Canis lupus familiaris: one gene and its partners. The protein of the gene in region 2 interacts with the protein of the main gene of each other region in a biochemical or structural test. Links are inferred from orthologs where the notes say so. Each region holds a gene or a part of one and is shown on either strand. Other genes may lie near its edges. The genes, in order: TTYH3, YAP1 and ubiquitin carboxyl-terminal hydrolase 17-like protein 6.

What was found.
Region 1: the proteins of YAP1 (region 2) and TTYH3 interact in a test that uses a peptide from one of them, tested with the Homo sapiens proteins (2 studies listed by BioGRID and IntAct, with this or other methods). The link is inferred for Canis lupus familiaris from reciprocal best matches to the Homo sapiens genes YAP1 and TTYH3.
Region 3: the proteins of YAP1 (region 2) and ubiquitin carboxyl-terminal hydrolase 17-like protein 6 form a complex in vitro, tested with the Homo sapiens proteins (3 studies listed by BioGRID, with this or other methods). The link is inferred for Canis lupus familiaris from reciprocal best matches to the Homo sapiens genes YAP1 and USP17L2.

Annotation. Positions count from the first base shown.
Region 1 is NC_049227.1:14,738,347-14,742,095, reverse strand, and holds the start of TTYH3 (protein tweety homolog 3), read right to left. Parts: upstream 2,302-3,749; 5' UTR 2,258-2,301; coding exon 2,135-2,257; intron 1-2,134. UniProt on the Homo sapiens protein: Calcium-independent, swelling-dependent volume-regulated anion channel (VRAC-swell) which plays a pivotal role in the process of regulatory volume decrease (RVD) in the brain through the efflux of anions like chloride and organic osmolytes like glutamate.
Region 2 is NC_049226.1:29,551,500-29,555,148, forward strand, and holds part of YAP1 (transcriptional coactivator YAP1), read right to left. Parts: intron 3,040-3,649; coding exon 2,849-3,039; intron 814-2,848; coding exon 766-813; intron 1-765. UniProt on the Homo sapiens protein: Transcriptional regulator with dual roles as a coactivator and corepressor. Critical downstream regulatory target in the Hippo signaling pathway, crucial for organ size control and tumor suppression by restricting proliferation and promoting apoptosis.
Region 3 is NW_023330959.1:17,718-20,882, reverse strand, and holds ubiquitin carboxyl-terminal hydrolase 17-like protein 6, read left to right. Parts: upstream 1-1,030; coding exon 1,031-2,638; downstream 2,639-3,165. Other genes in the region: ral guanine nucleotide dissociation stimulator-like, read right to left, coding at 1-24. UniProt on the Homo sapiens protein: Deubiquitinating enzyme that removes conjugated ubiquitin from specific proteins to regulate different cellular processes.

The DNA of each region.
Region 1 (3,749 bases), on a different chromosome or scaffold from region 2:
CCGCCCACACCGACCCATGGCCCAGCCACCCAGGAAGGGAGCTCTGTCTGTTGCAACCAAAAATGGAGCAGGAACACAGGGCCCTTGCATTCCCCACTGTGACCCCACAAAAGTGTGCCAGCCCAGATTTCAGGATGTGGCAATTAAGGATCAGAGAGGTCAAATGCTTGCCCAAAAGCACCAGCATGGGAGGGCAGGGGGCAGGATGTATGTCCAGGCCTGGCTCATTCTACAGCCCCCAGCCAGGAGCGGAGGCGGCGGGGGATGGAGACAGGCTGGTTTCCACGCCGTGAATTATTCAGTGGCTAATTCTGCTCCACAGAGAGGAGGCAGGAGAGTGAGTCAGAGCCCTCCCACAGCGGAGGAGGGAACAGTGATCACAGAGGCTGGGGGAAGACACCAGGGACCTCTTAGGGGCACAGGGCCCTGCAGGGGGTCAGGCTGAGCTGGGGGGCTGGCTACCATTCTGGAGGCTTCCACAGGCTGCAAGCGTTGGCCCCTCATTCCCTTCCCCACAACGTGTCCCAGGAGCCCCAGAGGGCAGGAGGTTGGCCCACAGCAGGTGCCGCCTACAGGCCAGCAGGCCAGCTCTGTGCAGGTCCCAGACACCCCAGGTGGCCCCAGGGGCAACCCGAGAGCTTCCCAACTGAGAAGTGGCAGAGAACTTCCTAAGTACAGCAGAGCCCCTGGCCCGCGGGAGCCAGGAGATGGACATGGACGTGACAGAGCCATGACATATGGAAGCCCCTGGGAGCACAGAAGGGTGTTGTTCCCACACTGGTCGGCACCCCAGGGCTGGGCTTTTAGAATGTGGGCGTTGAGTTTTATAAAAATCATGCTGTCTCTGGGCATGCCTGGGCCAATCCTTGGCCCCCTTTCTAATCTGCTTAGAAACAAATCAGCAGAGCTGGGGGTGGGGCGGTGGGGGGCAGGCCTCAGGTGAGCACTGAAGCTGGGAGTGGTGGGCTCCTCTGCAGAGTTGGGGTGCCCATGGTGCCCTTGCTCTCTGCTTCCGATTCTCATCTTCTAGATGAGGGTGGCCACAGAAGACAGAATTCTACAAAGGCGAGGTGTGATCATATCATGGAATCCTGGATTCCCAGGCCATCTTGACAAGCAAGGCTGATCTACTCCACCCGGGGCTCTGCAATGACCACTGGAGAGAAAGCACTCTGGGGGAGTTCTGGGTGACCAGGCATCCCTGCCATGGGGCTTCTGGAATCCGGATCCCCAGGCAGGAAGGAAATGCCCACAGCCTGGTCCCCTGCCCTGCACTCAAATGACAGTGGCTCAAGCAAAGGGGGGGGGGGGGGGGGGGTTGGTGCTTGGGCTTGGCATGACCCCAGGCCTCGGGTTCTACTGGGAGAGCCTGGTCCCTTGGGGAGAAGGCTGCAGAGGCTCCCACTGCCCCCTACTCTGCCCAGACTCCCAGACTGAGGCCCACCTTGAGTGTCCCTGTGGTCAGGCCTTCCTTCCTCAGGGGCTACTGGCAGCCGGGTCTCTAGGCAGGCCAGGTGTCACCACCGCACACACAGCACTGTGCATCCCCACAGCCTGGCCACCCAGCCGGGGGTCACGGCCAGCCACAGAGGGCTGGCACCTGCCCAGCTCACTCACCCACCAAAATCTTGGCAGGGAGTGGGATTCCCCAGCCGGGGGGAAGGGAGCAAGGAATCCCCTCCTGGCTGCACCCAGTACTCTCAGGTATCAGCTGGGTCTCAGAGCCCTGGGCCCCTGTGGGTTGGGGGCTCTGCAGGGCCACAGGTGAGGGCTGCCCCAGGAGTGGGGCAGGGGCCTGGGCTGGGGCTGACAGCTGGCACAGGGGGCTCCCCCAGACCCCAGAAGGGAGGGCCCAAGTGACACCAGGGGAGAAGACTAGCATCTGCAGGAGGGCCATGGACCCTCGATGCAGGACGGGGGTCTCTAGACGCTCACGGAGGGGGGCCCCAGGACGCAGGAGGACCCTGGGGAAGGCGGAGGCCTTGACCCTCCAGGGGGACGGGGGCGGCGACCCTCGGGGAGGGGAACCCCCCAGACCCTCGATGGCGGTGGGGGGGGTCGAGGGCCCCCAGACTCCGGCATGGCGAGGCCCGGACCCCGGGTCCTGACCCCCGACCCCGGGGGGCCGCGTCACCTGCTGGTAGTCGGTGTCCTCGGGCCGGAACTGGCTGCTGGTGGTCTCCCAGCGCAGGTCGAAGTGGGGCAGCCGGTGCAGGAGGTTCACCCACCAGGGCGCCGCGTAGCTGACCCCGGCCATGGCGGGCCGCTGCCTCGGGCGCGCGCCGCCGCGGGGCTCCCTCGCTGGCCCGGGGGCGCGGGCTTCAGGGGTCCGCCACCCCCCGCCTGGCCGCCCGCATCGCCCGCGCGCTCCTGGGCCCGGCCCGGCCCGGCTCGGCCCGGCTCGGCTACGCTCGGCTCCGCTCGGCCGCCCGCGCCCGCCGCCTCTTTGTTCGCCGCCGCCGCCGCCGCCGCCGCCGCCTCCGCGCGCGCCCCCGCCCCCGCCCGCCGCCCGCCGCCCCGCCCCCGCGCTGCCATTGGCCCGCCGCCCGCCGGCCCCGCCTCTGCCGCCGGCCCCGCCCCCCGCCGCCATTGGTCCGCCGCCCGCCGGCCCCGCCCCCGCGCGCCCGCCCGCAGGCCTCCGCCCCCAGTCCGCCATTGGCTCGCTAGAGGAGGCTCCGCCCACCCGGAGCCCCGCCCCTCGGCCAAGGGGCGCCGAGCGGGGAGGACCGAGCGGACCCCGGCGCCCAGCCGCTGATTCTCCACCCGCAGGTGGGGGTGGGGGCCGGAACCCCGCGGCACATCCGCACGCCTGGCTGCGCTTCCCAGGGTTCCCAGGGTGCTCGCTCGTCGGCTCGACCACTGCACGTTCCTTGAGCTTCTGCGGGGGTTCAGCCTGGAGGGGCTGCGCTGGCCTCTTACTATTATTTCTGGACCTCTTGCATCCTGAGAAACAGGGCCCTCCTTACATCTGGGACTTTGTCACCTGCTATGTTCTGGCTCAGCCAGCTCTGTGGGCAGACAGGCCCCTTCTGGCAGGCTGGGCTGGGCTCTTGTAGACTCCGGGCGGTGGCTTCCCAAGAGGCCTGTCCATCTGCTCACCTGCTTGACCTGACTTGTCTGTTTTCTTGTAATAAGGCTGGGTGGCCTCACTTGGCCTCCTGCAAAGGCCCATGGGCATAGGAGAGCCTTTGCAAAACTATGGTGTCCACCCATGGGATAATGTAGATACCACCCAGTTGAGGAATAACAGCCTTGCAGGAAGAGAGAGGTCACATTCTCCATCCCTAAAGGGCATGGTGTCTGGGTCCTGTTATTAGCAGCAGGTCACACAGCCACAGACCCCCTGCATCACCCTGACTCCCATGCCCCCAGGCACCAGTGTATCAGGCCGACCAGGGTCCCCATGTGGAGGCATGGGGTCTATGAGCTCTTTTCCATGTTTCCAGAAGCCCCAAAACATTGTGCATTTCCATCTGATAAGGCCAGAAATCCTGACCTAAACATGTGAGATGATAACTCAGCTGTCCTGAGTGGACTTGTGTCCCCCCCACCCCCGCAACACACACACACACACACACACACACACAGATAAGTCCTTGTCCTAACTCCTGGTACCTGTAACTGTGGTTTTATCTGGAAATAGGATCATTGCAAATGTGAACAAGTTACGATGAGGTCATACTAGACTATGGCAGGCCCTAATCAAATGACGATGTCTTCATAAGAAGGAATTTGGACACATTGACTCG
Region 2 (3,649 bases):
ATGGTTGCTTCTCCCCACCTGGAAAAAGGGCAATGACCTCCTAGCTCTTCAGTCCTTTAAATCTTTTGAACTCTGAGCACAGACAATCTGTTTTCAAGACTGAGATTCTTCCCTTAAATCAGATAAATGTCTGAGTTAGGACAGTAGCCACAATCTCCCCATCTAAGTAAGATGTTCTCTCAACCAGTAATCTCTGGGGTTCATCCGGGAGAAAAGTTGATAAACAATAAAAAACCCAAAACATGACCCAAGCAGACGCTTCCTCTTTTGGTAATTGAGATACTCTTCCTTTGGAATGCCCTGAGAAGAATTTTTCCTCTAAAAGTACCATTTTGACTCTCTTAGGATTTCTTAGTCTACCCAAGGAGATCATCTGTGCCATTTTGTTACTGTTCAAATGGTTAATTCCTATAAATCATTATAAATACTATTTTAAGCTAGGCAAATGAAAATCAGGCATGCCCCAAGGTTGACAGGATGCACACCTAAGATATAATACATATCCAATATGTAATAGAGCAAGACTTCCATGGAATCAAAATGAGCACTAGGACTCTCTGGAAGCAGCAGGAGGAAGCAGGCAGTGTAGACTTTCTGGGAATGGCAATGGTAACGTTACATATTTGGAAGAAGATGGCTCAAGTGTTATACCCTGGGCTAACGGTCAGTGAGGACAGGCCCCTGGAGCACAAGTTTCTCGCTTTCCTAATTTAATATCTTTTTTTTTTTTTTTTTTAAATGCTAGAACATCAGATAAGAGCCTACCTGACATTTTGGAGAATTTGCTGTGCTGGGACTGATATTCCGCATTGCCTAAGAGTAAAAAATAAGATGGATAAAAATTACTTTAAGCCACATGGTTTGGCTATGTAGGCTGACTTACAAATTTCATCCAGACATACCACCATAGCACAGAACTCCCAAGCCAGCCCAAGAAGCAGCAACTGAGGAAGACAGTAGCCAACGGAGTCACCACATAACAAACTGAAACCGAGGAATACTGAACAGCATAGCATTGAGGACAGGACAGCAGGCTTTAGGTGTCAGACTCAAACTCAACCTCAAACACGTGATGTTGGTCAGGGAGGTTCTTTGCTTCTGAATATTAGAAGAAGCAGGAAAAATGTAACTCGACATTCTGGGATAAGAGCAACCAACAGAAGAAGAAATTCATAGAAATCCAAAACTTCAGACTTGCTGAATTTATACTGATTGCCAAAAAGCAAAACCAAAAAAATCCTAATAAACAGACTATTAGTATGAGAATAGAGCAGGTCTGTCACTTCAACGGGAGAAGAGACAACACAGTTGGTGACAGAGAAGAAACACAGAAGTTGCCTTTAAAGGAAGTTAAGCTGTTTTGTCTAGGACCCATCACCCACAGGAAGAGAGTAAGACTTAGGAAAATTCTCTGAAGGAAGAGTTTTATAAACAGCAGCATTGCCCACCAAAACAAAACATCACAGAACAAAACAAAAATTCCAGTCTGATTGATGGCATACAACAAAATGATGAATGGTAACATTAACAATTACGTAATTTTTCTTAATAAGATTTCTTGGTTTTGACAGTTTTCAACTCATATCTGACACTGAGACTTGTCTGTACTGAGACCATCTAGTGATCAGTAACAAAGTGAAAAGCAAGCATCGAAAACAGGCTCTTAGCTGATCTCTTCTAACAGAGGCATAATTATACTCTTGATGGTGCTACCTTGTTCTGATGATAAAGATTTAAATGAAATATATCTTTCCTTTTAGTAATTGGTTGGAAACTCAGAGGTACAATAAATTGTGTGAATATGATTCCTTTCTCCACCTTGTTGATGGCAGATAAAAAAAAACCATCTTTCGAGACTACTCCCTGACATGAAACATGGGAACATGTGCTCTCTCGTCCCCGGGCTCGCTCGGGGTGCTAAGCACTAGGCTTGCACTGACCAATGGCTGACAGCATAGTCTGTCTGGGACCTCCAGGGCTTATCTTTCATCCCCAGGGCTCAGGCTTCAGTGACCATACCACGTCCATGGGTTTCCAGTGACACTCCTGTGTCCAGAAAAGTGGAGTGTCATGTTTTTATTTCTACACTTGGGAGGCTACAATTTAGTGGGAAAAATAGTGAATACATGTGTTTCATGTCTGTGGACAGAATACCAATGAAAAATGAAAATGAGAAGCTGACCATTCCAGACACCCTGAGGAGGACAGGACTCGGGGCACAAGCACCTTCTGCCTACTTTCAAAATTGCACTGTTTCTATGGTCAAAACAATTTTATGAAAACTAAAATATATACTGCTCTGATAAGATTGCATGCCTGGTCCCTCCCAAAATAAGAGACCGTAAAAACCTGATTCTGCCAGGGGGCTGTCTAATCTCCTGACAAAGGAGCTCAGCAGCCATATCCTGAGATAAGACTCATGGAAACCTCCGTCCTACCTGCCATCCTACCTGCCATCTCAAAGGGACATTCAGAGCAGTACATTTTAAGGCACTAGGGGATCTAGTTCTAAACTTGGGGTCACTTGTACTATGTTTGAAATAAAATATCTTAGATTCAGCAATGCTGCCACCACTTGCCTATTTGAGAAATGTCTTAGTGATTTACTCCCAGCGGGAAGACCTCAGTGTCTGGTCGCCTACAGCTAAGTGGCCCCAGAAGGCAAAAATCCATCTGTGTTGCAGGCGGGCCTGGGAATGAAGACAGGGCGGAGCTGGAGACAATATGTCTGGGTTGCTGCTCCAGCAGGTGAAAGAGCAGCACCCCCTTGGAGATACCAAGGCTAGAAGAAAACACCGGGACCACACACAGGAAGCACACCCCGAAAAGTGGAAGGCTGGCCTCTAACCTGGGGCCTCACCTGGCGGAGCAGCTCCTGCTGCTTCAGGCGCAGCCGCTCCTTCTCCATCTGCAGCTGCTGGAGGCGCATCTGTTGCTGTTGGCTGGAGCCCCCGCCCCCTAGGACGCCTGGAGGGCTCTGCGGGGCTAGGGGCGGGGGCTGCTTCACCGGAGCGCTCTGGCTGATTCTCTGGTTCATGGCTGCAACAGAACAAAACATCTAGCCTAAAAATCTGGTAGCAAAGGCAAAGGACAGCTTTTCAAAAGCAACTGGGAATACTCAACGTAGCCTTTATGGCAGGAAGGCTGGAAATAACCTGAAAACCCACCACTGGGACAATGGTTCCATGAACTTGTTATCACGGCTGCTGCCTCCGTGGTCCTTATAAGATGCAAGACTGAAGAGACAAGATGGGGCGCGCATCGGCCACAATGTGAACGGTCGAAGATGTATACAGATAAAAGCCAAGGGTGGAACAGAAGGTATAAAAAAAGGAGGGGTATACGTATTCCATGCACATCCAGAGCACAGCAAGGGATGGGCAGCCCAGAAGCCACGAACGTGTGTTGGCTTTGGACCTGGGGCTCTGTGATGGAAGGGTGGAGTTGCACAGATAGTTTTGGGTCACTTTGGATATCTGAGTGATGTGAACACGTTATTTACTACAAAATATAAGTACAGGTTTAATTAAAAATACTTCTACCACAGCCAGTTTACTTAAAAACACATCTACCACAGCCAGTGACACGAAGCATTCTGAGCAGCAAAGTCCATTAAAAGTGCTCAGTCCTCAGGACACCTGGCTGGCTC
Region 3 (3,165 bases), on a different chromosome or scaffold from region 2:
GCAGCCGCCCTGCACACTGTGCATGCACACGGACTCGGGGTCTGTCGTATCAGCCCTGGCGTTTGGGTCACAAGCCCCATTCCTCACCTTCGTCTCCCTGCCTTCTCCCTCTCAGCCTGGTTCAACAGCCCAGCCTGGTGCCGCTGGTCCCGCTGACTCCCCGGCTCCACATTCTCCTTCAGCCTCCTGGAGCCCAAGGCAAGGGGAAGGAAGGTTGCACCCCAGTGTGTTACCGGGCATCTGGTGCTTGGTGCCTTGTGTTCAAGGTCCCGCGGTCTTGTACAGGTAAAATGAGGCATATAAACACTGGATTTAGGATATAGACTCTTGTAGGAAAGGGAGTTTCAAAGGAATGTTTCCCAAAAACATTAAACCAGTGAGAGAATTCCTGTTGTGGTGGACCCGGGCCACACCAAGGCAGAAACTGGTATTCATCAAAACATTCACAATCTTTGTAGATTGGAATCATAGTCCAGAGAGATAGAAGTGGAGAAGCCAAGCAATGGATGCCATATTCCCAAATAATTGGTTTCAGCTACAAACATTCTGCTGGTGAGGAGAACGAGTTCCTATGTGATACCTGAGCTCCTTTGGGAGAGTGATCTTCCCTGTCCTAGAGCACTAACGTCTAACACTCCTTGGCTCCCTTGGGGTTACTCAAAGGAAAGGACATTCAAAAAGGTTTCCTCTGAACATAGAAACTCTGAACAAATTCTGTTGAGAAAGGTGCAGGGACAGTTGAGGTGGTTGAGAATAATCTGAAAGTTGCCTGTTGTGGGAGGCAAGAATAGGAGCTGGGCTGACCTGAATGGTCTCCGTCAGGGAGGGACCACACCCAAATCCCGTAATCCAATCAAGCAATTAGAGTGGATTAGAGGACTTTGTGCCTTATCCCAGGGCCCAAAAGCCATAAAGGTGGAGGTGAGGTTCACTATCTGACATTTGGAAACTGGCATCAGTGAGAGGAGCATCCCTTTGCGACCCTGAAGCTCCTGGTTGAATGTATCTTGTGGACACTGTTTCTGCAGACATGGAGGCTGCCCACCTCCACCCCTCAGAGGAGCCTCAGTTCAGCGCCTCTCCCAAACCCCAGTCATACTGGTCAAGGAGAGGCGGTGCTGAAGTCCACGGAGGACCCTCTGTGCCCGAGAGGACATCTCCTGCATCAAAGACGCTCTCCTCCCCGACTGACCCGTTGGCTCCCGCATCAGCAGGGCTGCCTCCCACCAAGACGCCTCTGAGTTGGAAGAGCCTTTCCCAGGTGGGAGCCGGGCTTCAGAACATGGGCAACACTTGCTATGTGAATGCGACCCTACAGTGTCTGACCTACACAGAGCCCCTCGCCAGCTACATGCTGTCCCAGCAGCACGGGACCACCTGTAGGAGGCAGACATCCTGCATGCTGTGTACCCTGCAGGCTCACCTGATGTGGGTTCTCTGCCATCCTGGACGTGTGCTCCGGCCCCTGCCACTCCTGCTCGCCGCCTTCCACAGACACAAGCAGGAAGATGCCCATGAGTATCTCATGTTCATTCTGGATGCAATGCAGCAAGCATGCTTGCCTGAGGACAAGCTCTCAGACCCTGAGTGTCCTCAGGACAGCACCCTCATCCAGCAACTCTTTGGGGGGTACTGGAGGTCTCAAATCCAGTGTCTCCACTGCCAAGGCATTTCGAGCACTCTGGAACCTTACCTGGACATCAGCCTGGACATCGGGGATGCTCACAGCGTCAGCCAAGCTTTGGAGCAGTTGGTGAAGCCCGAACTGCTGGAAGGTGAAAATGCCTACCATTGTAGTAAGTGTCTGGAGAAGGTGCCTGCGTCCAAGGTGTTGACTTTGCACACTTCCCCGAAGGTCCTCATCCTGGTCTTGAGACGATTCTCAGACTTGACAGGCAACAAAATGACTAAGGAGGTGCAATATCCTGAGCGCCTTGACATGCAACACTACCTGTCTGAGCAGAGGGCAGGACCCTTGGTTTATGTGCTCTATGCCGTGCTGGTGCACGCTGGGAGGAGTTGCCACAGCGGACATTACTTCTGTTTCGTAAAGGCAGGAAATGGCCAGTGGTATAAAATGGATGATGCTAAGGTCAGCGCCTGTGATGTGACTTGCGCGCTGCGCCAACCTGCCTATGTCCTCTTTTATATGCAGAAGACTGATCTGGAGAGAGACCTTGGGAGGGAGTCAGTCGAAGAGGGAGGACTCGCATCTCCCGAGGCAGACCCCACAGTGGTGGGTGAGGCCTCAGGAGAGCCGGCAACGGATCCCTCCGTGAACCTTCCTGAGTTGGAGGAGCGTGGGGAAGAGACCTCAAGGCAACAAATGACATTAGACCAGTGGAGATGCCTCCAAGAATGCAACCGCCCTAAGCCTGAACTTAATGTCAGGAGAAGAGAAATTGCTCTTCCTGCGAACGCAGTCATCCTTCACCACTCCAAATACAGACCTGAGATGCCGAAGAATCATCCTCAGCAGACCGTCGACCTGCTCACCACTGCGGCTGGGATGCTCCCACCTCAGGTGGCCGGGGACGTGGCCAAAGTCCCGCGTGTGCCAGGGAGAGCCCGACCTACCAAGAGGACGAGCAAGAAGGGACAGAGTTCTGGGGAAGCAGTCCAGGGATGTGTCTCCTAACTTTGGTGCACATGGGCGCACACACCCACACACACAGCGTCACTCACACACTCCAAACCCGAACACAGACCCATACTGGAAATATTTTGTGTTGTGTGAAGTGTGTGTTCTGTATGTATGGAAGAACCATCTATCTGGTGTGTTCATGGGATATGGCCTTCAACTGAAACTAGGAGACACTGATATTTAAACCTGGGTCTTTGTCATGATCTTATATTGGGATAGTGTGGATTTCATATGGGGTCAATCCAGGAACCTGCCTCTCCTTCAGCCTTGTGGAGAGTGGGGGCCACTTGCAGGTGAGAGGCAGTGAGCAGTCAGGGTTGAGAGTGGATATGATGCTGAGGACCTGGGGTTGAAGTCAGTATGTTTGACCCTCTCGTCATGGTCCCCACTTCCCAATGCTTTTCTTCTATTTATATTGAAAGAATTTTGTCTGAACACATAAGTATGTATTGGGTCTTGCTAGCGATGTGTCTTGGTCAATGCTTGGAAATTGTAGGAAGGAAATTAAGTGCTTACTTTTG